Macaca fascicularis: one gene and its partners. The protein of the gene in region 3 purifies or fractionates together with the protein of the main gene of each other region. This does not show direct contact. Links are inferred from orthologs where the notes say so. Each region holds a gene or a part of one and is shown on either strand. Other genes may lie near its edges. The genes, in order: EXOC7, EXOC6, EXOC1, EXOC6B and EXOC8.

Region 1 (5,677 bases), on a different chromosome or scaffold from region 3:
CTCCAGACTTGGGGAAATGAGCAGCTAAGGACGGTCCTGGGTGCTCACTGAAGTCAGGCTTGAAATGGCTGTTCCCAAGGTGGCTTGAGGTAGAGGAGGGGCTCAGAGCCCTCTCTGATGCCCCCTTCCCCATCCCCATCTGACATCCCCCTCCTGGAGATGAAGGGCTTCTCCCTATACCCCAAGGGGCGGCCTGCCGGGCCCCTGGATAAACACTGCTTGTGTTTATGCGGCCAACATCTCGCCAGGTCACGAGCATGATTTCCGAGTTAAGCACCTGTCCGAGGCCTTGAACGACAAGCACGGGCCACTGGCCGGTGAGTACTGCAGCCCAGCCCGAGGGCAGCTGCTGACACTGCCTTCGCAGCGGTCCCCGGATGGCCTGCTCCTGTCTGGCCCAGCCAGGCCCAGTCTGCTCTGAGGATGGGCCAGGCCTATGCGCCTCTCTCTCCACTCTCTTTTGGGCCTAGGTCTCCTTGCCTCTCTCCAGATGGGAGTGCGTGCCTGGCTCTCAGGCCTGGGCCAAGGGGAGAAGCCGCTGCTACTCAGAAAGCAGGCAGAGAGGGAAGGTGGCTCCCTTGAGGGCAGGGAGCCCTGACGTCCGCCTCCTGCAACAACTCAGAGCTCTGATCCCCTCGGAGCCCATCCCTTGGCACATAGGACCAGGCAGTTCTGCCACTGGTTTTGTCCACAGGCGCCCCCGCTGTGGCCTCCAGTAATAGGATCTGGCCTCCTCCTGGGGCAGCTGGCAACCCCTCCTCTCTGGGACTTACCAGCCTCTTCTCAGATTTTGACCCTATGCCAGCCAGCCTCAGAGGCTGCAGCCTACCGCCCTCTTAGATGTTCCAGAAGCCCTGGCTGGGCTGGTCACTTCCTTCGCAGGCCCCACATTTGCCCACATGGATGACCCCAGTGCCAGCCTCCTTGAGGTGGCACAGCCACCTGCCCACCCTGGGCTGCCCTCTTTCAGGTACAACTCAGAATCCTCAGTCCTGGGGTCAAACTACCTTATCCAGGATGTTGATTCAGTGATCTTCCCTCCTTATCCTTCCGTCCATCACCCTCCTGCCTCTGGTGTCTGATCCCACTGTCTGCGCAGAGCTGAGAATGAAGCCAGAACAAAGGCTGGGCTCAGCTCCTATTGTTCCCCTCGAACCTGGCGGGGCCTGCTGGTGCCCTTGCAGCTTTCTGCCAGAACAGTCAGCCTCTTCCCCATCCGCTGCCGGTCTGGGGTGCAGTCCAGGAGCTGGGGGACCCACACCTCCCCAGCCAGAAGTGTGGCTGGCCCCAGACCAGCAACTCAAGAGTTGTGTCTTCCCCAGGGAGAGATGACATGCTGGACGTGGAGACCGATGCCTACATTCACTGCGTCAGTGCCTTCGTCAAGCTGGCGCAGAGCGAGTACCAGCTGCTGGCAGACATCATCCCCGAGCACCACCAGAAGAAGACCTTCGACTCCCTGATACAGGTCCCGTGCCGCCCTGGGGCTCTGCAGCCAGCCCCAGCGAGAGCTGTCACCACAGACTCTTGCAGCCCTCAACTCCAGCCACCACCACCGCCTTGTGCCCTGTGGGCTGGTCCTGGGTGGACGCTCACCACCTCCCCATCGCCCCACTTCCTGCACACTGGCCCCCTACACCCTACAAGGATCCCCCACCAGCCCGGAGCCAGGTCCCACCACCCCACCCTTCCCTGAACTGTCTCCCTGTCCCCTCAGGATGCCCTGGATGGGCTGATGCTTGAAGGGGAGAACATTGTGTCCGCTGCCCGGAAGGCCATTGTGCGACACGACTTCTCCACGGTGCTCACCGTCTTCCCCATCCTGCGGCACCTCAAGCAGACCAAGCCTGAGTTTGACCAGGTGCTCCAGGTATGTGGACGAGGGGCCCTCGAAAACAGCCAGTAGGCATCCTGCTGCCTGGTGTGGCCGCCCTCATCCCTCCCTGGGAGATCCGCATTCTCCGTCCCACACCTCTGCTCTGAGGATGCATGGAGACAGCTTAGGAAGGGCCCTGGGCGAATGAGCTGCTCACTGAGTGACTGGAGGAGAGCTTGGAACTCCCTTGTGCTTCCTCAGGGCACGGCCGCCAGCACCAAGAATAAGCTGCCTGGCCTCATCACCTCCATGGAGACCATTGGTGCCAAAGCGCTGGAGGACTTCGCGGACAACATCAAGGTCCCTGCCGTCCTCCCCTTTCTCCCTCCCTCCCATCCCAGCACCCACAGTGACCTGGCCCTGGGGGACTCTCAGAGAGCAGGCCTCCAAGAGGGTGCGTTGTCCCAGGGGAAGCCAACTGCGCCGCTGGCCTGTCAGCACCCATGTGCCTTCCTTTCCTTCCTGGGGCCTCCAAGCCCTCTGAGGTGGGAAGGGCCTCTCCCCCTTGGTCCAGCCTGGCTCAGCCTTTGTGCCTGAGAGGTGTCCTAGCACCCGTCTGCAAGGAGGCGGCACCGTGAGCAGGTGCACGGGGGGCGTGGGGTGGGCCGGGGGCTGCTTCAGGGAACCAGAGGCTGTTTTTCCACAGAATGATCCGGACAAGGAGTACAACATGCCAAAGGACGGCACCGTGCACGAGCTCACCAGCAATGTGGGTGCTGCCTGAGGACACCGGGAAGGGGGGAGGAAGGAGGACCCAGGCTCAGGGCCGGGCAGAGTACTGTTGGAAGGGACCCAGTCTGGCCCAGAGCTGCTCGCACCTTTGTGAGCGGTCCTGGGTGGCAGGATGGACAGTGACATGCTTAGTGTCTCTAGCAGACAGGGCCCTTCCTGGTAGACTAGAGTGAAAATGAAGTTTCCAGCCGCGCTCTTCACTGGGCGGATCCCAGCCCTGGGCTGGCCGTGGGCACTCAGAGGGGTCGCTGCGGGAGGCCGTCAGCCGGGCCTGCCACTTGCCCTTCTGCACCGTCTTCTTCCCACCCAGGCCATCCTCTTCTTGCAGCAGCTTTTGGACTTCCAGGAGACGGCAGGTGCCATGCTGGCCTCCCAAGGTACTGGCACTTCCCAGCTGGGCCCCCTGCCCCACTCCCCTTCTTGCCTGGAGACATGGGGTTAGAGGGCAGGGAGCAGTGAGGAGGCGTCTCCAGTCTGTGGAGGGGTTGAGATGTGCCCTGCAGAGGGTCCCTGGGGCTGAGCATCAGGAGAGCGAGGTTTGCCTGCACCTTTCAAGACCAGACACTGGACCTCCGGCCCCTCCCTCAGCCCCTTTGACCGTCGTCGCCCTGGAAGCAGTGTCCTCACTCTGGGAGCAGTGCTGGCTGGTTGGAAGGTGTCCTTTCTGCGCCTGCCCCCCTCCCGAATCCTTCTCTGTGTCTGCCTGCTCTCCTCATCAGGCTCGCTCAGCTGGCCTTCAGAGGGTAGCAAGTGTTTCAGGGCTAGCTGGGTGTCTTCCTGCTGGCCCTGCCCTGGGACTGGAGCTCGGGGTCGGCCTGTGAGCAAGAGCACCTTTCTGGTTCATTCCAAGCACTGAGGTCCCCGGGCCCTCTCCTTCCGTCCCATTTTGGGGGCAGGGAGCCCATGGGCAGCCTCCAGCCTGCAGTTTCCCAGCTCTGTACTTACAGAGCGCTCCCTGGTCCTCAGAGGGTCCTGCCTGCTGTGTCTTGCTGTCTGTGTTCTGGCTGTCGTGGGGAGAGGTCTGCTTGACTCGGGTTGACGTGCCATTTCTAACCTGTTTTTTGCACTTTGCATCTTTCTCCCTCCTTTGTCTGTCCTTCCGTCCCCTCTGTGTGCACTGCCTTTCACTCCGTAGTTCTTGGGGACACATACAATATTCCTTTAGACCCCCGAGGTAAGCAGTGCGGTTCTGCAGCCCCCTTCTGTCCCTCTGAAGCTTGGTGGGTGAGGTTCCCTGGGGACTGACTCTCAGGACCTACTGGGGAGCCCGAGTCAGAGGGGACATGAGTTTTCTCAGGGTGCTCTCAACTCTCTCTGCTCCCTTCAGGGCCACTCTGTCTCTGAGCTTATCCACAGCACCTGCCGGGGCCAGAGCCCTGAATACACCCCCCAGGCTCACCCGGCCTCCCTGCCTTGCTGTCCCTACTCGGCCTTCCACACTGCAGGCCGCAGCTTCCTCTATTCAGGAGGGTCTGGTAGAGGGGGATGTTTGAATGTAGGGGAGAAGGTGCAGAGACTGTGAGGAGCCCTTTCTAAGACTCTGCTGTTGGCAAAAAGAAAAAGGGGGCCTTGTAGAAACCACCCAGGGTGGGTGGGCGCAGGAGGGGATAGGGCACTGGCATCTCACTCTTGTCCTGCCAGCTTTTCTGCTGACATGGACCAGCTCCTTAGCCATGCCACCCCATCATAGAGGGCAGCTCTGGGTTCCAGAAAATCCAGGGCCGGTGCTTCCTGTGGCAGGGGCCGCCCTGTGGCTTAGCAGGTAGCTGGCTCTGCCAGAGGAAGCCCGGGGACCTCAGTGTCCCCTCAGACTGCTGCATGGCATGGGGGAAGGGCCGTTGAGGGTCTTGGCTGCTGCCACTGCAATAACAGGACTTCTCCTCTCACAGAGACCAGCTCTTCGGCCACCAGCTACAGCTCCGAGTTCAGCAAGCGGCTGCTAAGCACCTATATCTGTGAGTGTTCTCCCGGGCAGACCAGCAGCCCTGCCGCCTGCATGCCCTGCCTTTCCCTTCCTTCTGTCTGTGCTCTCTGGCTATTCCCAGGGCCCTCTCCTAAGTGCCATCTGACCTTTGGAACCACAACCTGACCTCTAGTTCAGAGGCTGAGGGGAGCTGGGCTAAGGCCTCCTGAGGCGACGAGGAGCGATGGATAGGAGTGCGTTAGCAGGTCCCGGGATGGGGTCGTTTGGGTCAGACTGCCATGATGGGTGTGGCCCCATTTTTCCCTGTGCAGGTAAAGTACTGGGCAACCTACAGTTGAACTTGCTGAGCAAGTCCAAGGTGTACGAGGACCCAGCTCTGAGCGCCATCTTCCTTCACAACAACTACAATTACATCCTCAAGTCCCTGGAGAAGTAAGTGGCCTGAGGGAGCGAGTCTGCGCCCCTCGGCTGTGCAGCCGTGCCAGCCCCTGCCCCCTGGGCTCCTTCTCTTGTGGATGAGAGGGGAGGGGGTGCTTCAGTCTCCTCCATCCCAGGACCCGGAAGGTGGGAGTGCTGCTGCTGTAGAGCTTGTAGAGTTTGGGGTACAATGGGAGGCCCTCCCAGCATTGCTGCAGTCTTTGGGCGTGAGGAGCCAGTCCTGCCCCTTCTCCTCTGTCCCCTACCCTCACCCAGGTCTGAACTGATCCAGCTGGTGGCAGTGACACAGAAGACTGCTGAGCGCTCCTACCGGGAGCACATTGAGCAGCAGATCCAGACCTACCAGCGCAGGTGAGAGGCTGGGCCTGCCCTGCTCCTGCATAGGCCCCCAGCCGTCTTAGCCCTCACCCCGCCCCGTGCCACCACGCACTCTTCCTTCTCAGCACCTCAGAACACAGGGTCGGTCATGGGGAACTCCTGTCCTCTGGACCCTAATCCTCCACTTGGTTTCTAATCAAACTCACGGGCCGGAGAGAGAAGCCCCCCTCCTCCACCACTACCTGCTCCTAGGGGCCCACTGTCACCACTGTAGAGGGGAGTCTGCCAAGCGCCAAGGCTAAGAATGATTGAAGAGCTGACTGTCAGAGACGTGGGTAATGTTTACCCCAGGAGAAGAGCAAGGTCACGAGAGCACTTGAACTTGGCTG
Region 2 (6,250 bases), on a different chromosome or scaffold from region 3:
ATCTTTCTTCTTCCAGGAGTCCTGAAAAGAGATTTTGGATTGATCTCTGGAAGTCAATATCCACTGCCAAAAAATAATTCCACATGCATCTGCAATCTACCTGTCTGTGCCCTGCTACTCCATAACCTTCTTAGTGCAGACATTAAATCATTCACTCCTAGGGGCTGGGCGTGGTGGCTCATGCTTGTAATCCCAGCACTTCAGGAGGCCGAATCAGGGTGATGACTTGAGGGAAGGAGTGGGAGACCAGCCTGGCCAACATGACGAAACCCCGTCTCTACTAAAAATACAAAAATTAGCTGGACGTGGTGGCTTGCACCTGTAATCCAAGCTACTCAGGAGGCTGAGCAGGAGAATCGCTTGAACCCGGGAGGCAGAGGTTGCAGTGAGCCAAGATCGTGCCACTGCACTCCAGCCTGGGCAACAGAGAGAGACTCCATCTTAAAAAACAAACAAACAAACAAAAACCATTTATCCATTGGATGGGCTTCCCCCACCCCACATTTATATATTTGATATATCTATGTCCATGATTAAAATTAGGGCTGGGTGTGGTGGCTCACGCCTGTAATCCCAACACTTTAGGAGGCCGAGGCCGGCAGATCACCTGAGGTTGGGAGTTTGAGACCAGCCTGACCAACATGGAGAAACCCCGTCTCTACTAAAAATACAAAATTAGCTGGGCGTGGTGGCACGTGCCTGTAATCCCAGCTACTCGGGAGGCTGAGGCAGGAGAAACGCTTGAACCCAGGAAGCGGAGGCTGCAGTTAGCCAAGATCACGCCATTGTTACCCAACCTGGTAACAAAAGCAAAACTCCGTCTCAAAAACACCAACCGAACAAACAAAACAAATGTACAGTTAGTTATTTAGGACATTTAACTTTGAATTCTTAGCTAAAACCTCCCGGTACTCACGGAACTGTCAGAAGTCTCAGAGGGAACCAGCAAAAACTGTTTCAGAAGGAGAAGTGGTAAATGGACTTCCTTCCATGTTCACTTGAATTTCGGGGAAGATACTGCTGCTTATGTTGAAGTAATCTCTCTGCGCAGGTGTTGAAACAGGCCTGGCCTGAGGAGTGCCTAAGCAGGGCTGGTTTCCCAGAGCAGGGGCACACTTGAAGCTGGCTTTGGAATAAAAGATATCAGGACAGGTGAAGAAAAGGCGGAAAGTTCTAGGTAGGGAATGATCAGGAAAGTAATGCTCCAGCTGGAGACACTGGTCAAATAGGAAGCCGGCCTGTGCCACATGCCCTGCTCTCCTCATCTTGCTCGCTATCATAGTTCACTGCAGACTCGAACTCCTGGGCTCAAGTGATCCTCCCACCTCAGCCTCCCAAAGGTCTGGGATTATAGGTGTGAGCCACTGTGCTTGAGCTAAGATAAGTTCTTAAGAGGGGAAAATAACCTTTTGAAAATTGAAACTGAGACATAAAAAAATGAAGACAAACTTTGTCCCCTCCCACAAAGAGAATGAAAAGCTAGGTCTCTCTGCAGGAAATGGAAGACTATCTTAGCTCAATGGATGTGTATAGCCGGAATCCATTCCTCTGAAGATTCCAGATTAATAGGAAGGTGGGCATTAGCAATGTTTTACAGGGCCCTTCCTAAGTTTGGTAGGCAGTGGGTCCCACTGATGCTCACATTCTAATCCCTGGAACCTGTGAATATGTTATTTTTACATGACAAAGGGGATGTTGCATATGTGATTAAAGTTAAGGACCCTGAGATGGAAGATTATCCTGGATTAAATGGTTGGGTCCACTCTAATCATATGGGTCCTTAAAAACTGAGCATCTTTTCTAGCCTAAGTCAGAGTCAGAGGAAGATGTGACCACAGAAGAATGATCAGAGAGATGCTACTAGATTTGAAGATGGATGAAGGGGGCCATGAGCCAAGGAATGTGGGTGGCCTCCAGAAGCTGGAAAAGGCAAAGATATTCTCCTGCAGGGTCTCAGGCAAGGAACACAGACATGCTGACACCTTGATTTTTAGCCCAGTGAGACCTGTGACAGACTTCTAACGTACAGAACTGTAAGATAATATGTCTGAGTCATTTTAAGCTAGTCAATCTGTAGTGATTTGTTATAGCAACAATGGAAAACTCATACACCATAGGACAGCAATATGAGGTAGACACTGCTATTGTCATTTACAGTCATTTAACTGACATAGAACTAGGTTCTTGCCCAATGTTACACAGCTGTCAAGTGATATTTATCCAAGAATTAATGTCTTCAGACACTGGTCTTCAGAGCTCATGCTCTATTATACAAAACCACCTCCCAGGATGTTTGTGGGGAGGAGGCTGGAGGTAGGTTTCGAGTAAAAGCTCACTGAGGGTGAGTGAGTTACACAGCTGGATAAAGAGCTGGTTGACTCAAAGGGAAGCTTTTCAAAGCCCTGGATTAATGTAGAGCAGAAAGTAGTTGTTCCTCAGGCTAGGTTTACATTCTGTTCCTGTTTAGTCTTCCTTCCTCCCTGCTTTGATCATGACAAACTGGTTTACTCAGTGTCCCACAAACATGTCATTAAGCAGGACTTTTTTCTACACTGATACTTTTGTCCAAGCCTCCTTGCCTTCGCTCTCCCACCTCCCTGCTGCTAACCCCCTTTCAAGAGCTCTCAACCCTCCTCAACCCAGCTACCCTGACCTGGGGGCACTGGGATTCAAGGACTTTGGCATGAATCACACATCGCCCTGGGCTTTTTTTTTTTTCCAGTATCTTTGCCATCAAGTGCCTTAATTTCTCGTCATTTCATTTTTCTGTCGCTTATAATTTATTTCCAAGTTGACTGGCCACTGGTGGACTTCTTGCAGGTGAGGACATGAATCCACCTGGAGCGGTCTTCATGGTCAACTGGGATCTTTATTCGTTCCTAAAATAAATCTTACTATCACACGCAATTTTGCTTTTCGTGAGCGCATGTGTTCCTTTCTCTGATTGCCCACAACGCAGAGTACATCAGGCCCTTGTTAAATGTCCCCGTGGCTCTTATTACAGAGGCAGGGTGATGATCTGAGTGTCCACCTCGCTGACTACTACGGTATCCCCAGCGTGTGGCACAGGGTGTGGCACGCACAGAAGACAAGAATATATGTTAAAGCCCAAAGGCCGGGACTAGACGCCCAGGAGGGGCTGGCCGCAAGGGAGAGCAGGAGGCCAGCTGGGTACCCGGCAGCCGCCCGCAGCCCCCACTCACTCCCGCAGGTGCGGGGGCGGGAGCCGGGTAGCGCGCCTCCTGCCCGGCGTTCCGCGCGCCCCTCAGCCGCCGACTCTCGCGCCCCGCCCCCGCCCCGCCCCTCCGCGCTCGCGCCACCTGGCGCTCGCCCCCGTCGTTCCCGCGGCGCCGCGCCTCTCCGGTTCCTCAGCTTCCAGCCAAAATGGCGGAGAGCAGCGAGGGTCTGGGCACCGTCCCCGAGCACGAGCGGATCTTGCAGGAGATCGAGAGCACCGACACCGCCTGCGTGGGGCCCACCCTCCGGTAAAGATCTCATCCCCCAAGGACTTCGGCTCCCCGCCCTGCGCCGGCTGCTCCTCAGGAGCCGGGCGGGGCGTCCGCCGCCGGCCGCGCGCGAAGCTCCCCGACAGGTGGTGCGCGCGGGGGCGGACGGGGGCGCTCGCGGGTGGCGGAACTCTAGCCCGGACCCGGGCGGGACCGAGAAGGCGGCTGCACCTGTCGGCGCGGCCTGCCTCCGCCTCTGGAGCTGTCACCCCGCAGCCGGTGGGTGTGGCTGCCGCAGCGTCTCTAACCCCGGGCGCCGCGGTGCGGCCCCGCGTTCTTCTCCTGGCTGCGGCCCCAGGGCCCGAGGACACTCCTGGGCCCTGGCCCCGTCTCGCTCGTGGCAGGACTGAGGGCTGCTCGGCCGCGGGCGTGCCAGGCTAGGGTCGACAGCCGGCAGTCGGCGTGTCGGAGGTGGCAGGTCGCGCGCGGGTGGAAAGCCTGGTGCGCCAGGCTGCCACGGGCGTGGGAGAATTGAAATTGAGCGGGAGACGCCGGCCCCTTCCCCCTGCTCCCCCGCGCGGCCGGAGTGGGCGAGAAGAGCGCGTGGGCTGGAGGGGAGGAGCTGCTTGCTGCTTGGGAACGCCCTAGGGTGACCCTGCACTCGCGGGATCTAAGCTGCTTTGGAGGCAGAACAGCTTTTACTTATTTACAAACATTTCATTAAAATTGCATTAATTGTTCCGGTTATTTTAAATCGAGTTCCTCCTCATTCATTTTAAGAGTAGTACTAGGTAATGCATATTCCATGCCAGACTGAATGAATACCTGCTGTTCCGATAGAATATTATTAGCCAGGCACCGTAATGAGCCATGGGTTAGGTTAGGCACTGTCTTCAAGAATAAGTTCCTTTTACATATAAGGTTTCATCTTTTGGAGTGATGATATGATAAATGAAGTTATGATTCACTTACGGAACTTGAGACTGATTATGCTTTATCATTAGTATTTATTCGGAATACTCTTCCTAGAAATAGAGCGCTGTACAGTTTGTGAACCGGTGAATGTAGTGTAAATTGAAGCCAGTTCAAGTTATGTAAATACACCTTGCCCTTAAGAGTCAGGAGGCCTGGGTTCTTGTTTTGCCCTAGTCCTGCCACTGATGAAATGTGCAGTCATGGAAAACAATTATTTAACCTCTCTGGATCTCGGTTTCGTTGTTTGTAGAATGGGGAGGGGAGAGTATTCAGATGTCCAGGAAGCTCAGAACATTAGGGACCTTGCCTATTTGTTCACTGCTGTATCCCTAAGACCAAGCATGTGGTAGGAATGTTACAAATTTTTGTTACATAAAGTTTCTGCTATGATATGATAATGCATAATTAGTGCATTTCCTTAATTTTCCAACATTATTATGTCTTTTAATAAACTATACTTGGTAATGAAAGAAGTAAGATTAAAAGGAAGCTTTGTTTTCATCACTGCATCTTGCAACAGTGCAGTGCGTGATAAAGTTACTAGAGTAGTTTATTTGTGAAGATAGTACTGGTTATGAAAGAGGTGCTTCATCTTGGGAAAATGTGCTAGGTAGTGTCCTTGAAAAAAGATGAAATTAACTTAGAAGAACATTTTGAGATATATTGAGAGATTTTTGGGACACTCAGGAACAGAGTATTTGTATTCATAGTGTTATTCCGTTCTCTTTTGTTGGGCAGTTGTTTCAACTGGCTCATTTTGTTTGAACCCACTCTCTTTAGCAAACTCTAGTGACTCACACTTATCCCATATATATGTATATTTATGTCTCATTTATAAGCAGACGCTTTTTGCACACATATAGAGGGTACTGCTAGCAGTCTTTTCTCTTGAACATTGTTTAAGCTACTACTGTTTTTTTCCCTGTATTTTTCAGGTTTCACTAAGTGAAGTGTTAATACTGCATTTTAAAAACCATTTATTATGGAAGCATTTTAAATGTTTAAAGAAGTAAAATAGTGTAATGAACCACCATGAACGGTCATCTAGCTTCAATTCATTCCCTGGCCAGTCTTGTTTGAGCTTTTCCCTTATCTACTCCCCCTCATCTTGGATTATTTTGAAGGAAATCCAAGACATCAATTTATTCATAAATATTTTAGTATTAAGATTAATTTTTGTTGTTATTTCCTATCTTTTAGCTGGCCTGAGACTTATTTTATTTATATTGTTTTTTCTCAGCGGCAGGATTTTTCGGCCTGACCTTTTCCTGAGAAGCATGTGATAAACTTTCCACAGGCCCTGACAAATAACATGGTTCTTTGACCACAACAGAAGTATATTAGAAATCAATAGTAAAAACGAAAACAAAAACTATCTGGAAAATTCCCAAATATTTGGTCATTGACTAACACACACAAAAAATAAATCAAAAGGGAAATTAGAAAGTATTTTAAACTAAGTAAAATGAAAACACAACATATCATTTGTGAATGCAGCTGAAGAAATACTTAGAAGTTTATGGCACCAAACACCTCTACTAGAAAAGAATGGCTTCAGCTTCTAACCTAAGAAACTAGGAAAAGAAGAGTATATGAAATTCAGAAGAGTGGAAGAAAGGAGATGGTAAAGATCAGAGTGGAATTCAGTGAGACAGAAATGCAGAAAATCAGTGTTATTGTAATAGCACAAAAAAAGGGAAAGAAGGAATATAGCTATATAAGAGTAACATTTCTATATTTTACTGGATGAGAATAATTCTGAAGTAGATTCTGAGAGCAACCACTAAGAAATAACTTTTTTCTAAATTCCAGAAAAAAATCACTAATTA
Region 3 (5,677 bases):
ATCTAAAAGAAGCTAACTAATCTTTATGCAACATTACTCTCATACTATATTACAGTGAGTTTTATATTAAAATACACTTCAAGTTTCACTAAAGTATAGATAACACAGAAGTATTAATAGGAAAGCTGCATCACAGATAGCATGCTCTGAATCAGTGATTCCCAAATGCAAGATGTTTTTCCTGGCCTATAGCAATAAGAAAAAGTACAATGAAAGAAGTGAGTCCTTCATAAAGGTAAACATATTAATTTTTAAAATCTGAAAGGAAATTCTTATTCTTTTAGTGCCAAAATGTCATTTTAAAACGAAAAGATAATGAAAGTGGATAATAGTATTTCCTTTTCAAGGTCTTTATTTGGTAAAAATAAAAAAATTGGTGATTTGGTCAGTCTCCAAATTTTATTTCTTTTAGTTTTACTAAGTTGTGAATTTTAAAAAGACTGAGAATCAGTGCTTTGAAATTACTGTTATATTGTGAACAGATTTTTTCACTGGATTCTTCAGTATAATATTTGTAAATATTGTAACTATACATTTGCTATAAACTGTATTGCATGGACTCAGTTCAAGTCCTACCTTATCTGCGATTCCTTCCATATCTGACTCCTTAAATTCTCAATAAACTCACTTTTGATTAAACCTTTTTAGCACTTACAGTCCACAGTTCTACAATTAGCAATATATTACACACATTGCTAATGTATATTAGTCTTAACTCCTTACAAAGAGTAAGTACATTAGTTTTAACTTCTTCTTACAAGCATCTTGAGGGTACGAACTATTTCTTATTCTCACATATGGTAGACAGTGAGTACATAATAAGCATACAATGAAAATTTTGTGATTGCCAAAGAGGTGTACCATATTATTTTAATCAACTTTCCCAGCTTGTGCCCCTACCAGGAATAGACATACCCATGTTTCTCAACAATTTTGCTAGGTGACCTGATGCACTGAATGCAACACTAAGAAAATCTCTTTCTTATGCGTGGGATATCTTCTTCCACCTTTTTTGGCACATCCTAGGTTGTCACAGCATTCTGGTATTTAACATGCATCATTCACATGTAATAACACATATTAGCTTTTCAGAAACGGGAAGCATTCATTTTAAACGAAGCCATTAGTTTACAAGGCAAGAAGCAAAATCATAAATAACTGCAGGTTACAACAAACAGTTAAGGGTACAGAAAAGACTATTGTTTATTGGCTGATATTTTCAATACTATCTACAAATGTGGATAACATAATTGTCAACAGTGTCATTTTTACAAACTAAGGAACTGTATAGGAATAGATGTTATTGTAGTAATTACCTAAGAAAAACACGAATTAGTAGTTCCTATGTGACATCTAAGCTTACTTTTTTCTTGACACTTTTCAGGTCAAGTGGAATGTTAAGGGAATTTCTCTGATTTCCCCTTACTGTGCTTTTAGTTAGGTGGTCTTCCTTTATGCTCCCACAGTCTCACCACCATAACATTTATCCCTCTTGAGTATATTATTTGTTTGTCTCCCTTCCCTAGACTGTGAACTACCTGAGGACAGGACTGGTCTCTCATTTATCCCAAGTCAATGTCTGGTATGTACCTCAACCACCTGGCAATACTAAATAAATGAAGGAGTAATATTACTATTATTACTAAATGAAGAATACTACTACTATTTATTACTAAATAAATGAAGTGAGTTGAAAAAATGACAGAAAGAAAAGCAAGCAGAATGAGATTAAATGCCTTTTTGGCCCAAATAGTCTCTACTATGGGACATTAAAAACCGGCTACGAATGTGGTTAACAAGTAGCTTAAATCAGTAAGTTATAATCTGTAAAGATTCTGCTGCTGTTAAGTTTAGCAAACTCTATAGAAAAAAAAAAAAACAAAACAGAATCAGAGAAGCTTGAGCCAAATTTGATGTACTCACAGGAACCGAAAGAAAGTAGGACCTGTTATAGAGTTGAAGGAGGGCCTGAGTAAACTAATTGGAAATAAAATATAGTAAATACAATTGTTTTAGAATATTGCAAAGTGAAAATAAAGTAAAAATCCACTGTTTTCAGGCAGTATTTCTTGATGAACAAGCTATCCCCCCAATTTTTTTTCATTCAGTAACTCTAATAAAATAAAAGGGACTTTTAAAAGAGATGAAAAAATAAGAAACCTAATTTATTACATTAGATATTAAAATGGCTTTTATTCAAATCTCCCAAAGGTACTCTTAATATTTTTAATAACAATATTATTACCACACTCTTAATTATAACATCCTTCTCCATATAAAAATATAGGCAAAGCATTTATATGAAGATTAGATCAACTGAAATTTATGGTTGAGCTATAGTCATTTTCTTAACAAGCATAACAAGCATACTATGTTCTAAGTACATAGAACTTACAAAACATTTAAGACACTGAATCAAGTCCTAAGTCTCACCTCAAAATATTGAAAAATAAAACAAGTCCAATAGTAAACATCTAACAAGTTTGGACTTACTTTTATAAGTAAAAATATCTAAGTAGTATATGCAATTAATATGCACAGTTATTTGATTTCTAGAATCAGAGAGCATCAGCTGAAGGGAACTAGACTGTCTACTGAAAGAGGCAGCTGAGGCCCAAAATACATCTATGAGCAAAGAGGCACCTATTTCAAAATATTAAAATCAAATATGTGAAGGAATTGATTGCAACCCCAATTAAACATTATTAACCTTTTTGTGGAAATGTAAGGTTAAGATAATACATAAATAAGCTATAGGAACATGCTCGTCTTAATAATAAAATAAAATTACCTGTTGAACAAAAACATTGTTGAGGTGACTCGCCAGTCTCCGGGCAAAAAGCTCTCGCAAATCACTGAATCGCTGCTGTTGCTGTTTGACTGCCAGAAGCATGTCATGGCCTGATACAGAATGACATTTTGTGACCAGTTTAACGGGTAAAAAGATTTCCTTGATGTTTAATGGAACATTAAACATATCTAAAGTTTTGAATAACCCCTAAGTTGTATGAGTGTATTCATTTACCTGATAAAAATTAAGCAGGAGAAAAATGGGACTGCACAGTGGTTCTCAAAGTGTGGTCTTGCCTCACCATCGCCTGGGAATTGTTAGAAATGTGGATTCTAAAGCCTCAGCCCAGATCTGCTGAATCTGGGGCTGGGGCCAGGCAATCTATGTTTTTAACAAGACCTCTAGGGATTCTGATGGACACTCAAGTTTTGAAATCCCTGCCTAGAAAAACCTTACGCTCTCTGGTCTAACCAAAGCACCTACTTTCTGCTGGGTTCTGCGGATAGTACTAAATAAAGATCCTGGTGTTGACTATAGTCATTGAGGTCAACTAGAAGGAGGAACTGAAGTAAAAAAGTTCATAGTATCAATAGAAATAAGCGGGAAATCAGTGAAACTTGAATAGCTAATAATGTAACCCTAAACCACTTGTCTCACGTATTTCTTGTCAAAATCTTTATAACAAGTTACAGGCTTAGTCTCAGATTCTTGGTCACATTTTTGTCATTTCTAATGAACATACCTGGTCGAAGAGCTACATTCATGCACTGCAGAAGGGCATCAGCAGCATTGGTGCAGGCCTCAATGCCTCTGGAAGAAGCAAGATCTCCTTCCTGAAGGGCCTTTATATGACCTTTGGCCAAGTCCATGTGGTTCTAGAATATATGCAAACATACCATTTGCATGTGTAATTCTGGGAAATTTACAGGCAAGATGCTACTCAATCCTATCATTAGGTCTTTGGAATTAATTTAAATCCTGTTCTCATAAGGAAATTAGAAAATGTTTACAAATGGGTTTTATATATCATCACTAGTTTTTTTTGTTGGTGGTGGTGGTAATTTATGATCATACTTACCACAAGGAACTCTATCTCAGATAGGAGTTTTACATTATTAGTGTTACTAAGATGAATTAGGTGGTTGCTTTCAGAGATCTGATCCATTTGTTCTTTTACACTTTGGAGCATTTCCTCATAACTGCTCAGCTTCAATTCAATCTGATCTACCTCCTTTAGAGCCTCATCTAGCAATTTCATCAAGATGTTGACTTGTTTTTCAGATGCCATGATTGACTGGATGTTAGCCTACAAAGTTAAAGACCAAAACAAGCAAACAAAAAACACAACATTTCATGTTACTTAAGTGTGTAAAAGAATAAAGGTGAAATGTTGCTAAATTTCCTTTAAAGTAGAGTAACAAAAATTGATATATACCTACACATCTACTTTAGTTTATCACTTTATGGTCTTCCATGTTTTACACAGTATTTCATGCAGTCATGCAGGTACATTTGCCTCTTTATCAATGTTTTTTTTTTTTTTTTTGAGACGGAGCCTCGCTCTGCCGCCCAGGCTGGAGTGCAGTGGCCGGATCTCAGCTCACTGCAAGCTCCGCCTCCCGGGTTCACGCCATTCTCCTGCCTCAGCCTCCCGAGCAGCTGGGACTACAGGCGCCCGCCACCACGCCCGGCTAGTTTTTTGTATTTTTAAAGTAGAGACGGGGTTTCACCGTGTCAGCCAGGATGGTCTCAATCTCCTGACCTCGTGATCCGCCCGTCTCGGCCTCCCAAAGTGCTGGGATTACAGGCTTGAGCCACCGCGCCCGGCCTATCAATGTTAAATTGATACACATGCCTTAGGATTTTATACTTCCACAGACTGCACAAGTAAGGTTCCAGAATGCACAAGTACAGTGCCAGAATGTATCATCAGTAATGGCACATTCTCATTTCTATACATTTAGGAGGCATTAGGCCATGTTATCTCTAACATTTCCTCCAATTCTACCAGCTAGAAATTTTCTTAACATCTATGTGAAACACTAAATAAGAGCATAATCACCTATGTGATATCTTAGTTGAGAAAGCAGCGGTGGTATACCAGACTCCGAAGGACACATGAAACTAATTTATAACTGTAGTATGAAGGGAACTAGTAACAGGACGTAGAAGAGCATATGGCTGATAGATAGCTCCTTCTATCATCTTTTTTCTTTTCTCTTTCATTTGCAACTCTGTTTTTCTTCTTCCCCAGGCAAAGCAGTAACAAACCATCATCCCCTCATCACTATTTTCTAAATGATTCTAACTACTGATTCTGAATTCCCTGAAATAAGGAAACTGCCAAATCCAAAATTAAACTGCAAAGCAATATGCTGACTTGGAACATATATACAATATTAATTAGAACAAAAAATATAAATCACTAAGCCATATTAAAAAGGCAAGTAACATGGTATGATGAAAAACCTGGACCAGAAATTTAAAGAATATCATTGTACAGCTGATGCTGTGGTTTCACACGTTATTTATATACTATTCACAGTAAATAAAATATAAGTGCAATACAACTTTAAGAGTCAGCAGGGCTCAGAAGCCACTGACACACTGACATCTCTTAAGTAACAGAGCTGGCGTTTGAATCTGCCCAGGATAATTTCTTTCTTAACATCTTAAAATCATTTCTAGGCTTTGCTTTCAGTGAGCTCTGTAAACTTGTAAGCTTGGACTATTTATATAATCTCTCTGGGCCTGAGTCAGACCCCATAACTTCTGTACCTTTCATGTACATAACACTAAAATTTAAGTCTTTAAAATGTTCCTTATCCTCTGAGGGATTTCTTAAATGCTTACCTTTTCTTAAAACCAGAACAAACCCAAATGATT
Region 4 (6,209 bases), on a different chromosome or scaffold from region 3:
ATGGGAATCTACCAATATTACATGTATAGCTCAAAACTAAAATAATAATAGTAATATAATGAAAAAGTCAAGTCACTGTGACTCCTCAAACAAAAAGAGATAAGACTGGAAAAACAATCCAGTATCACAGCAAAGAAAGCAAGCAAGTAATGATACACAAATAATAGCTGGGAAAGGAAAGAGTCTGGTTAGGCAATATAGCCAAGTGGATTTTTTTGAAGAGCAGGTATTTTAGGAATGGATATACTAATCTAATATCTGCTCTCAATTTACTTTCTCTGTTCGTTAGTTTCTCTTCAGCTAGAAAAGCCTATCTCAGGAACAGTTAAGAATCTGGTGCCTTTACCTCAAAAGATGAAGAAAGAGGAAAGACATACTATGAAGAGGAAAAGTTCGAGATTTACAATTGAGAGTAGTTAAGGCAAGAAAGCTACTGCCTTAATCAAACCTGTTTAATGATAGTGATGAAAAACAGGAGATAATGACAATAGAGGCACATCCCAAGTAAGGCATGGGATCTGAAACATCAAGTCTGTGCATGCTGCTGCCTCTGAACGGGATAAGGAAAAAAGGTGAGATCATCCCCTATGAATATGGGTAGGGACAGCTAGACTAAAGACAAAGCCCATGGGTACTCCTTGTATTATAGGATATTCAAGTGAATAAACCCTGGGTCTGATAGTAAGATTTAGTGTAATCTGCTAAAAAAAAAAAGAAAAAAAAGTTAAGACCAAAAATGATAAGCCCGTAATAATCATATAGGAAGTCAAGAAAAGCAAGTAAAACTGGTATTGAGTCTCAAACTTTTTTTTTTTACAGTGTCCCCTTAGGGCAAAAGATCTCTTAATCCATCTACCTACACAAAACCCCACTTTTCAGTGGAAAAAACTCAATAATATCAATGAAACAAGTTTTAGGGAGACTGGGTAACTTATATTTAAATCGTAATGTATATACAGTTGACCCTCGGTATCTGCAGGTTCAACCAACCTCTTCAATCAAAGTTTTAAGAGAAAAAATAAAGGGACAGTGGCCGGGTGCAGTGGCTCACACCTGTAATCCCAACACTTTGGGAGGCTAAAGCAGGTGGATTGCTTGAACCCAGGAATTTAAGACCAATCTGGGCAACACGGTGAAACCCCATCTCTATATAAAATATTAAAAATTAGCCAGGTATGGTGGCACACGCCTGTAGTCCCAGCTACTCAGGAGGCTGAGGGGAGAATCACCAGGCGGTCAAGGCTGCAGTGAGCAGTGACTGCAGTGATTGTGCCACTGCACTCCAGCCTGAGCAACAGAGTGAGACCCTGTCTCAAAAAAAAAAAGGATGGTTGCATCTGTACTAAACATGCTACAGACATTTGTCTTGTCATTATTACCTAAACAATACAGTATAACATATATTTACATGGTATTTACCATTATATTAGGTATTTTAAGTAATCTAGAGATGATTTTAAGTATACAGGAAAATGTAGGAAAATATAGGATCATTGACCCTTAAGAGCTAAAGAAAATGGGAATTGAGAGAAGCACAATGGTCCTGATCATAAGGCAATGGGGGTTGGTGGAGAGACAGGCAACTGTGTGGAAGAACTGGTCCAAAAAAGGGAGCTAAAAGTCACTTTAAGGGACAAAGGGGCCAGGCACGGTGGCTCATGCCTGTAATCCCAACACTTTGGGAGGCTGAGGTGGGAGGATCATTTGACCCCAAGAGTTTGAGACCAGCCGAGGCAACATGGCAAAATCCCATCTCCACAAAAAGTTTAAAACGTAGCCAGGTGTGGTGGTGGTGCACAGCTGTAGGACCAGCTACTCAGGAGGCTTAGGTGGGAGGAGCTGAACTCTGGAAGTCAAGGCTGCAGTGAGCTACAATCACCTCACTGCGCTGCAGCCTAGGAGACAAAAGGAGACCCTGTCTCAATAAATGAATATTAGGTTGGTACAAAAGTAATTGCGGTTTTTGCTATTACTTTTAATAAATAAAGAGACAAAAGGCAAACTACCATAGTTATGACCAGGGGTGGTACTGGCAGAAATGTGCTAACAATGTGTCCTGGAGAAGGAAGCTGTGCAGGTGGAGAGGAGGAGTAGTTTCCAACCTGCCCTCCTTCAATTAGTCTTTCCTGAGTCAACTCACGCCAGGAGAACGCAAGCAATGAGTAATAACTTTTCTGATGGGAGGGGCAGTGACCCAAGACTGTGCAAGGAGGGTAAGATAGTTATCTATGTATTGGCTGCATGAAGATCAGAATGCATAACAGTAAGGGATAAGGCTGAGTTCGTTCTAGGACACCAGTAACATGAGGGGAAGGGGGAAAGTAGTTCAAAACTAGGCTTAGTGAGTAATTATCAACAGGAAGTACGGGTAGCCGGTAATCTCCAGCTGAGGCAGAACAGTGGTTAAGTGTCTGGATCCAGGCTACCCGAATAGCAATCTGAGTCCCCTACTTTATTTTCTCTGTGACCTTGGTCAAGTCACTTAACCTCTCTGCGCCCCATCTGTAAAAGGAGAGTAATAGAACCTACCTAATACGGTTGTTTTGTGGCTTAAATAAGTTGCATTTGTAAAATCACTGTTTACAACGTCTTGCACTTTATGTAACAAGTGCTACCTAAATTTGTTAAATAAGTTGAGGTAAGTCGGGATTTCTTTTGACATCTCCAAATAAAATGGAGATGTGCGTGCAAAAAAAAAAAAGAAATGGTAACTTGGAGGCGGCAGCAGGGTCAATTTTCCCCAGCGATGAGGAGGCTGCACCGTGGGCGAGGGTCGTCCTCGTAATAAGGAAGCAGGGATAAAGGAGCAGCGGCTCCCAGGAGAGGGGCGTGGGTTGGGGGAACTTCCATCCAGGCCTAGGATTTCCAAGGACTCGTTTCTGAGAAGTGGCTGTGATTCTGAGGCAAGACTTTGATTTCGAGCACCAGATCATGGAGTGAAATTCTGTGTTATCTGAAGAGCAGGACTCCTGTCTAGGGCAGGACGGAGTTGGAGTCGGAGGGAGAAGGGTGATGTCCCCAGGGAGAAGATCTGACGGGAGCCACCACCATCGGTCGGGCGCCCGCTCGTTCCCCAGCGCCGGACTAGCCTCGGAGGGAGAATGAAGGCTGCTCCAGCCCCGAGGGAGACAGCGGGAGCCTCCTGAGTCACTGGGCTATGGGGCGCCGCGAAGGGACCCCGCGTCGGGGCTGCGAAGGGAGACCGCCTCGCCCGGAACGCAGGGTCTCTCCCAAGGGAGAGGCCAGCGCCGGCCATGGAGACAGCCGGCCGGAGCCCGGACCCAGAGGAGCCTGCCCCGTCCCGCCCGTTCCCGCCCCTCGGTGGCCCCGGCACCCGGGGTACCTGAGCGTGGGCCCGATGCAGGCCGTGTCAGTGCTCTCGATCTCTCGCAGGATCCGCTCGTGCTCTGCCGCTGTCTCCAGGCTCTCCGCCTCCGCCATCTTACCCCGCTCCATAGACTGGGGGCGCCGCGCAGCGCGTCCCCTCCGTCAGCTCGGCTCACCTTTTCGCTGCCCCACACTCCCTCTTCCACCCCAGGCTCCACAGCCGCCCCAGCCTCTGGCTACCCGCAGGCCGACCCCTCCCTCAGGCTCGGCACGCCCCCTTGCGTCACCGCGTCCGTCGGCGTTCTGCGTAATGTCCGCTGGGATTTGTAGTTCTCTGGGAAATGCTAGGTTGGATTCCGTGCATTCATACATTGCATTCATACATTGGATCCGCAAATACTTGTTGAAAGCCCACTGTAAGCTAAAAACAGTTAACAACACTGCGTAAACAGTGATGATCAAGTCAGGCAGTGGCACTAAGCCTACAAATTCTTGTTTACCACCTTTGTCACAAAGTGCAAAGACTCTGTAGGTGCGAATAATAAAGTAACTTAATGTCTGACAGAAGCCTTACAATCTAGTGGGGGAGACACGGGGAGCTGGAGAATTCAAAACCGTGAACTGTGAGCCAGTACAGAGAATGGAGTTCAGAGATCTCTTCTGGTTGCCAAAGTTTCATAAAGAGACTGAGTTTCGGAGGTTAAAAGGCATAACCGGAAGTTGTGAGGAGAATCCAGACGGCCGAAAAGAATTTCATTTGCACTGATGTGTAAAGAAGTAGTAGTAAGGGATGGGTCTGGAAAGGCATGTTGGAGAGAAATTGCGAGGAGCCTTAAATACTGGGCTGAGAAATGTGGACTTTGTTCTAATGGTTCCACTGATCCAACAACCAACTGCAACAGAAGCACCTGGAAACTTTTTTTTTTTTTTTTAATACAGACTAACGGTCATACATCTGGAGATTCTGATCCAGGCATCTGCATTTCATGAACTCCTCAGTTACAATTTAAAAATCAGATTTATTGATCATTGCTTGAGTTGTTACATAACACAACGAATGGGAAGACACAGAAGGTTTTTAAGAGGAGTGACACATCAAAATGTGGGCGTTAGGAAATTTGGTGAAGGGCAAGTGTGCAAGATGTGCAGAGATAGAGAATTTGGAGATAAGGAAACGCCATAGGAGATGATAAGGCCTAAACCAGGGAAGCAGCAATGAGAATGAAAAAGAATGAGCAAATAGGAAAAACATCAAAAAGGGAGAATTGACAGGATTTACTAGATACCAAAAAGGTTAGATATTACTCCAAGGTTTAGTACCAGAGTGACTAGTAGAAGAGGGTTTCCACTGACAAAAAAAGTCATGAGACAAAAAAACTGGAAGTTTAGGCTAAATAACTTGTGCTACAACCATACTACAGACTAGTATGCAATCATTAAAAAGAAAGACAAAAGACTCTATGGTCATACATGAAACTGTCTCCAAGTTGTAGTTGTTAAGCAGAAAAAAGCAAGGCATGAAACAGTATATAGACTCTGTCCTCATTTGTTTTTTAAAAGAATAAATACTCATATATATGCTTTGATATATATATACACACACACATATATATATAATATTACATAGGTAGAATATTTCTGAAACGGTGCCCAAAAACTGTTAACAGTAATGGCATCCAGGAAAAAAAATTGGAAAGAAGGAGTCTGAAGTGGGAAGAAGGTAATTTTTAATTATCTATCATTTGCACTCTTGGAATTATTTTCCTTGTGCATGCATTACTTTTTTAGTAAAAATGGCAGTCATTACCTAAGAACACATTTTAAAAATAAATAAACCACTAGTAAGGGGAATGGGTTACAAGTGCTAATTTGCCAGGAAGAGAGCAAGTTGATAAATCTGTCTGTCTCTAGATAATCTCTGCCTGTCCTCGTTTTGTTTCATTACTCATGTTTAAACAATTCCAAACAGACATAGGAGGGGTAGGGAGAGTGTGGAGCCTTTGATATTTCTAAAGATCTCTTGAAATACATGACCGAGGGTCCCTTCAGACACCCATTTTAGCATCTCACTCAGCAAGTTTTTCACCGATAACAGGATCCAGGCTGCTGCACAGACGAGATATATTCAGTAGTGGTTAAACTAGCTTCTGCTACTGTCAGCAGTTTTTGTGAGCCTCCACAGAGGCCAGAGGCCACACATCTTAGCAACAGGGAACAGGTCTGGAGTAAGCAGTATTGGAAACCTCCAGTGAAGAAGACAAGATGACCTGTCTAATGTTTATGTCCTCCAAATAGAAAGAATGTGAGTCCCGTTGATTCAGTTCCAGCATTACTGGTTAAAATGTATTGAGCAGGCTGGGCGCAGTAGCTCATGCCTGTAATCCCAGCACTTTGGGAGGCCGAGGTAGGTGGATCACCTGAGGTCAAGAGTTTGAGACCAGTCTGGCCAACATGGTAAAACACTGTCTCTACTAAAAATGTAAAAATTAGCCCAGCATGGTGGCAGGTGCCTGTAATCCCAGCTACTCAGGAGGCTGAGGCAGGAGAATCATTTGAACCTGGGAGACGTAGGTTGCAGTGAGCCAAGATCATGCCACTGCACTCCCACCTAGGTGACAGAGTGAGACTCCATCTCAAAAACAAGCAAACAAAAAAATGCATTGAGCACTTTCTGTGCGCCAAGCACGATATACAAAATAAGTACTTCACATATATCAACCTTGTTAAATCCTTACAACAATCCTTTGCAGTAAACATCAAGTGTCCCCTTTTACAGATAAGAAAGCTGAAATACTAGGCAACACCCCACATCTCACATCCAGTAATGAAGCTGGTATTCGAACCAGGTCCATCTGATTCAAAGGCCTATTTCCTAACCAGTA
Region 5 (6,151 bases), on a different chromosome or scaffold from region 3:
GATAAAAGAAATGACCTTTTGAAATCATGGGCATCAAATTTGGTGCTTATGGACAAGAATCACAACTAGAAGCTAGAGACAAAATGGATCACAGCAAGCATAGTTTCTCTCAAAGTATAAGGAATGTTATAGAACATACAATAGAAGCGATAGTTTAGAAACCTTGGGAAGCTCACATTTCTGATTTTGTTTTACTAAACAATTTGAAGCATTATATTCATGTTTAAAAAAATGAAACAAGAAAAATGCAGCATGGAACATTTTAGAAGTCACAGAAGGTTCTCATCTTCCCTTTGTTTTGGGCACATTGTCTCACCTGTTTTCACTTTGGTACAAAAAGAAACAAAACCGAATCTCTGCTCAGAGTAGTCATAGTGAGAACACTGAGATTTGCATATGTTTTTCTAATTTCCCATCCATCTAGACCCTGAAATCTAAATAAATATTTCAGTTAAAACTTTTTTTCCATTTGCATGACATCTAGGCCACTATATATCCTACCCTGAATGGGGGAGGATGGGACAGCTGTATCTTAAACTGAAGCAGTGGCAGCTAAAACCTGGCAACTGCTGCCAGAGTCCCCAATGTGTCCTGCCTATTATTATTTTTTAAAATGTGACAAAGGCAAAAGCTACAGTTGGAAACTCACGCAATTTAGAAATATGTTGAAAAATTTTATTATAGTCCTTAGGATTTCCAAGTAAACGCTCCTGAATCAAGTATTACAAAGCTGCTAATTAGCAACTGAAAATTAGCCATTCAAATAATATTAGAAATAGTTGCTGAATTGTTTTTATGAAAGCTTCCTCTTGGATTCTGTAAGGATCAGAGTATCTGAATCCACACACCAGCTAGTTTCAAGAAAGAACTCTTTTGACTAAAACTTACCCTAAAACCAATTTTCCCAACGCTTTTCTTTTTCCCAAATAGTCCAACGTTTTGAGGAGAAATAAATGAGGCAGGGTGTTTTATACTGCACTGTACCCTTTAGGAAACCTTTTAGTGAACTGGGAAAATTTTCACAACATAAACTCTATGTTTATAGATATTATTACTCTGCTGTATAATATATACTGTGCGGAAAAAAAAAAGAAGAAAGAAAACACTAGCCTGGGCAACATGGTAAAACCCCATCTCTACAAAAAATACAAAAATTAGCTGGGTATGGTGGTGCCAGCCTGTGGTTCCAGCTACATGGGAGGCTGAGGTGAGAGGATTGCCTGGGCCTGGGAGGTCAAGGCTGCATTTAGTTGTGACGTTGCCACTGTACTCCAGCCTGGGCAACAGGGTGAGACCCTGTCTCAAAAAAAAAAAAAAAAAAAAACCAAAAAGTGTTTTATCAAAGGATAAAACTGAAATGCTATAGTGTATAGTGTGACCATAATTTCAGAAGAGAATCAGCATAATTTAAAAGGATAGCTAGCATACTATATGTTTTAATAATTCCAGTATTTTTGTTATTTGGGCTTAATTTAACTTCTTTTCCTCTTTTTGATTTTTGTATTCTAAGAGGGCACTTTTAATTTTCAAGTTGTGTTTGAAACTATAAAGAGTATGCTAATACAACTTAATATAAATATAAATAATATATAAGCGCTCTCTCTCTATATATACATACATATAAACAGACCCAAGCATTAGACCACTGATGTTGTACTTTCAGGATTCACACGAATAAGTCTAGATGCATTCCTCAGATCTTGGAGTTGCTTGGCAGGTTTCCCCACACCTTCTTCAAACCTTTTCTCCACCACAGGGAGGACTGTTTCATATAAAAAGGATGCATTCTGTCTGATAAAAGCTTTCTTCTCTGGATCCTGCTCACATCGAAGACTATAATCCACATGCTGAACAGCAACCAAAATGATTTCCACCAGGCTCTCCAAAAGTACCATGTGCAGCTCTGGGAAATACAGCTTCAGAGCCTCTTCCAAGAAGCCCATGGTCTGTTTGGTGAAAGCAACCACTGTGTAACTTAGGTTCACCCAGCAGTCATCCCCTGTGTACTGCTCAAAGTTACTTACCCCACAGCTTTTCATCTCTTCTTTGAGCTTCCCCAGGGCTTCTGGCGTCATCAAGTTCATCCTTCTCCACATCTCTTCAGAGTTGCGATGTTTAGTGGCTTCAATGATGATTTCTTTGTAACTGTGCAAGGCCCCTTGGATGTCTTTCACCAGAAGGGCATGGATGATGAAGGTGAGGTCCAGTCCGATATCACCCAGTTGCTGGCAATGCTCCTTAGCCACTTTTACACACTCAGCTGCTGTTGAGAGGCTCTCCTTACTATCAAACACCTGCTTGCTGAAAGCATCCACGAACATGCCCATGGCTGATCTTGCCCAGACCACAAAGGCGGAGTAGCAGCCGCTGTCAGTGCCTGCAAAATCAATCTCAAATTCTCTTGCAGTCTCAAGAAGGCTGGTAAAGAAGACATGGCACAGCTTATGAATATAGAGTAAAGTGGCGCCTTCAATGCGAAGCTGACGAATTGCTGTATGAACAGCGGCTGCCCTGTTTCTCAAAAATAGCTCACAGGCCTTCGTGCACTGGCCCAGCCGGATCAGTTGCGAAACTGCTCTGCGAGTAGCCTTGGGACCACCTCTCAGGGAACGATCTGGGGAGAGTTCGAAAACCAGCACCTCAGTGAGCTGTCGAACTCGCTCCTCCACTTTGGCCCTTAGTTCTTTTACAGGAGGTGGGCTAGGCTTATCTTCCAGGTAATGGTTCAATTTATCCAGCAGGTCAACAGCTCCTTCAAAGTCCCTCTGCGCAATGCAGACATCCAGGTCTTCAGGTAACTCCTGGATCCATTCCATGGAGAGGTCCACGTTCTCTTCCTCTACTTCAGGAACAGCTGGCTCTTCTTCTTCGTCATCCTCAAATGGGTTAGTGGCCTTGGAAGTCACTTGGGGTGGCCCTCGAGGGGCCGCTGCCTCCTCCTGCTCCCTTCGCCTTTTCTCACTGAGGGCTCTCTTGGTCTCCTCCAGCACTTCCAGCCACTCTCGTTTGATTTTAGCATTTTCGGCCTGGAAAATACGGCTCTCGGGGAACATAAGCAGCTTGAACATGTCCTTCATGGGCGGGTTGTCCTTGACATTGACTACGGCCAAACCATCTAGGGAATAGAGAGCGTTGTAGCGATACATGCCCCGCCGCTGCGGCAGCCAGGTAGCCACCAACAAACAATCGTTCATGAGAAAGCCGTGCACCCGCTGCAGTTGGGCCATGTGGTCGGCATCGTATTCCACTAGGTCCCCGTTGTACACCAGGTACTGTCCCGGCGTCTCCAGCAAATGCCTGCAGCCTTCCACCTTCTCAAGCAGGGTGGTGAGAGTGCGCTGCTTTCCTTCCTCGCCTGGACCGGAGCCGTCGCGGGAGGCGCCACCGGGGGTGGAGAAAAAACCGGCCTGGCCTCGGAGGTGGTCTCGGCCCCCCGCCCCACCGACTCCCTCCTCCCCGCCAGACGCGGCAGCGGCTCCGGCGGCAGCTGCGGCAGGCAGCAACGTAAGCGGGATGCTCTCCAGGCTGCTCTTCTGCTCCGTCAGCAGGTGGCTGAGCTGGTACATCTCGCTCTCCAGGTAGGAGATCTCACGGGCCGTCTCTATGAACTGCCGGTAGTTCTGGTAGACGTTGCGCTTCAGGTTCTGCGCCGTCTCCTCCGCCAGCGCCTGGATGCGCTGCCGGTGCTCCTGGAGGTCCCGGTCCCCATCCGACTGCTGCGAGAGCTGCTTCACGTACAGCCGCGCCTCAAAACCCCCTGACTCCAGCTGCCGACGCAGGCGGCTCGCCCCACTGTCCGACATCGCCATCGCCATTTCCGTCCGGGTCTCACGCAATCACTGTCACTATCGGCGCCGCAGCCGCCGCGGCTGTCTACACCCACCCAAGACCCGCCGAGCTCCTGGGCTGAGGAAGCAGGAATTGGAACAAGACGAGTGCGCCTGCGCCGGGTCTGAGCGTCAGACACTGCGCCTGCGCAAGGGGCCAGGCGCAGACATTGCGCCTGCGCAGGAATGCCATCAGTTAAGGCGCATGCGCCGGAGGAGCTAGTGCGGAAGTGAGTGGAGAGGCCGAGAGCAATTTGGGTACTGCGCATGAACCGAGCGTGACGTTGAGGTTTGAAATAACCGGCAAAGAGTAAAGGCTGGAACTAGCTTCCTGAAAGCTTCGTAGGGCCGGTGCCCTGTGAGCCCAGGTTCTGCGCCCACTAGGAGGTGTCGTGCTGACTGCTTGTTTTAAAGCCCTAGAATCTTGGCTTCGGCGTTTGGGGTAAGCGCCGTTCTCGTTCACGTTCTCTTTCTTAAGCGAGTTTCCGCGAACTCTCGCGGGATTGACTGGCCGTCTCGAGAGCCGGTATCTCCTAGGAGCTAGTCCTGGTCCTCCGCTAGGCGGCTTGGGGTCGCAGCCTAACTCGGAGCCAGCCTGACACCGGCGGATCCCGCCTGTGATCCTGGCAACGATGGACGATGACCTGATGTTGGCCCTGCGGCTTCAGGAGGAGTGGAACTTGCAGGAGGCGGAGCGCGATCAGGCCCAGGAGTCCCTGTCGCTAGTGGACGCGTCGTGGGAGTTGGTGGACCCCACACCGGACTTGCAGGCCCTGTTTGTTCAGTTTAACGACCAGTTCTTCTGGGGCCAGCTGGAGGCCGTCGAGGTGAAGTGGAGCGTGCGAATGACCCTGTGAGTTCCGAGCCCCGCTGGGGAAAGAGGCGGGACTGGCAGTTCTCCTGCAGCCCCCGATCCTGGTCTTCTCTCCTTTCTCTGGTCCGACGGTCCCAGGGGGCATTAAATGAGGGGGGAGTCTGGTTTTGGACCTGGCAATTCCTGCCTTGGCGTATTTCTCTTTTTCTTACCTTTTCTCCCACTCGAAAAATAAGAAAGCTGTGTAGACCCCACCGCCACGGTTGGACTCAGGGCCATAACGAGAAAAGAGATTTGTGTTTGAATCTCACTAAACTTGAAAATAACAAGTTCCTGATTTGCCTTATGATAGTGCTGTAGGACCCTGAAGGGAAAAGCAACCAAATCTGCCCCTAAGAAAGTGCTGAGGACGCAGAGTAACCTCCAAAGGATGTGCGTTCCCCTCCTCTCTTTCCCGTTAGGAACCCACTTTAGTGAGCTCGTGTGTTGCAGTGGGGATCTTCAGTGATGCTTTTAAAACGATTCTTTTTCTACATGCTAAATTTGAGAAATCCTTATTTGAAATAATAATCTACTCCTGCACGTGAATAGGGTGAAGTTTAAGATACAGTTGTATACCACCAGCATGCTTGTTTTTGAGTTGACAGAAAACAACCTACAAACAAATTAAGATATCATATTAAATTGTGTTTAAAGTACCAATCTCCTTTATACAGGCGTCTGTTATCATTTTGGAGATACACTATTGGAGATACCTGCTTGTTAATAACACCAAACTGTGATTTGTCGTAAGGAGACTGGGAGTAGCAGAATGGGATTGCCTTCGAGCTGTTGCAGCCTAGCTAGGGCAAGGGAAGCTGCAGTTGGGCCATGTGGTCCGCATCGTATTCCACTAGGTCCCCGTTGTACACCAGGTACTGTCCTGGCGTCTCTATCAGGTGCCTGCAGCCTTCCACCTTCTCAAGCAGGGTGGTGAGAGGGCGCTGCTTTCCTTCCTCGCCTGGCCGGGGAGCCATCGCGGGAGGCGCCCCCGGGGGCTGTAACTAATTAATTGGGTGAAATGCAAGTATCTGCTAACCAAGGGGGTATACTCTCAAGAAAGCCATCTGCCAAATGAGTTCTCTTAGTGTGCACTGCCCAAGAATGTGTAAGGACTTGGGCGTATTTGGTCAATGTAACACATTTTTATGGTGATTGTTTTCTAGGTGTGCTGGGATATGCAGCTATGAAGGGAAGGGTGGAATGTGTTCCATCCGTCTCAGCGAACCCCTTTTAAAGTTGAGACCAAGAAAGGATCTTGTAGAGGTATTTTTCATGTAAACTTGCTTCCTAGCTCAGTAATTTACAAATGCTTGTCATTGATTTAGACTGCTGTGAATTCACCTGTATGTATCTTTTAAAAAGTCTCTTTGCCCTCAGTGCAAACTTGAATTATGGGGCAAATAATAATGAACACCTTATGTTTTTTATAGTGCTTCATAGTGGGAAAAAAAAGGCTTCTAGAGGCCGG

The links.
Region 1: the proteins of EXOC1 (region 3) and EXOC7 purify together in Homo sapiens (affinity purification with mass spectrometry; 4 studies listed by BioGRID and IntAct, counting the BioPlex papers as one, with this or other methods). This does not show direct contact. The link is inferred for Macaca fascicularis from reciprocal best matches to the Homo sapiens genes EXOC1 and EXOC7.
Region 2: the proteins of EXOC1 (region 3) and EXOC6 purify together in Homo sapiens (affinity purification with mass spectrometry; 4 studies listed by BioGRID and IntAct, counting the BioPlex papers as one, with this or other methods). This does not show direct contact. The link is inferred for Macaca fascicularis from reciprocal best matches to the Homo sapiens genes EXOC1 and EXOC6.
Region 4: the proteins of EXOC1 (region 3) and EXOC6B purify together in Homo sapiens (affinity purification with mass spectrometry; 3 studies listed by BioGRID and IntAct, counting the BioPlex papers as one, with this or other methods). This does not show direct contact. The link is inferred for Macaca fascicularis from reciprocal best matches to the Homo sapiens genes EXOC1 and EXOC6B.
Region 5: the proteins of EXOC1 (region 3) and EXOC8 purify together in Homo sapiens (affinity purification with mass spectrometry; 3 studies listed by BioGRID and IntAct, counting the BioPlex papers as one, with this or other methods). This does not show direct contact. The link is inferred for Macaca fascicularis from reciprocal best matches to the Homo sapiens genes EXOC1 and EXOC8.

Annotation. Positions count from the first base shown.
Region 1 is NC_088390.1:82,516,424-82,522,100, reverse strand, and holds part of EXOC7 (exocyst complex component 7), read left to right. Parts: intron 1-248; coding exon 249-317; intron 318-1,322; coding exon 1,323-1,468; intron 1,469-1,717; coding exon 1,718-1,870; intron 1,871-2,077; coding exon 2,078-2,176; intron 2,177-2,522; coding exon 2,523-2,585; intron 2,586-2,918; coding exon 2,919-2,985; intron 2,986-3,743; coding exon 3,744-3,782; intron 3,783-4,497; coding exon 4,498-4,563; intron 4,564-4,843; coding exon 4,844-4,964; intron 4,965-5,225; coding exon 5,226-5,321; intron 5,322-5,677. UniProt on the Homo sapiens protein: Component of the exocyst complex involved in the docking of exocytic vesicles with fusion sites on the plasma membrane.
Region 2 is NC_088383.1:101,630,247-101,636,496, forward strand, and holds the start of EXOC6 (exocyst complex component 6), read left to right. Parts: upstream 1-1,961; 5' UTR 1,962-2,980; coding exon 2,981-3,485; exon of another isoform or gene 3,486-3,725; intron 3,726-6,250. UniProt on the Homo sapiens protein: Component of the exocyst complex involved in the docking of exocytic vesicles with fusion sites on the plasma membrane.
Region 3 is NC_088379.1:77,989,656-77,995,332, forward strand, and holds part of EXOC1 (exocyst complex component 1), read right to left. Parts: intron 4,098-5,677; coding exon 3,870-4,097; intron 3,667-3,869; coding exon 3,534-3,666; intron 2,902-3,533; coding exon 2,792-2,901; intron 1,978-2,791; coding exon 1,924-1,977; intron 1-1,923.
Region 4 is NC_088387.1:49,085,126-49,091,334, reverse strand, and holds the start of EXOC6B (exocyst complex component 6B), read right to left. Parts: upstream 3,562-6,209; 5' UTR 3,457-3,561; coding exon 3,344-3,456; intron 1-3,343. UniProt on the Homo sapiens protein: Component of the exocyst complex involved in the docking of exocytic vesicles with fusion sites on the plasma membrane.
Region 5 is NC_088375.1:17,751,388-17,757,538, reverse strand, and holds the start of EXOC8 (exocyst complex component 8), read right to left. Parts: upstream 3,929-6,151; 5' UTR 3,816-3,928; coding exon 1,638-3,815; 3' UTR 1-1,637. Other genes in the region: DNA-dependent metalloprotease SPRTN, read left to right, coding at 4,460-4,680, 5,847-5,946. UniProt on the Homo sapiens protein: Component of the exocyst complex involved in the docking of exocytic vesicles with fusion sites on the plasma membrane.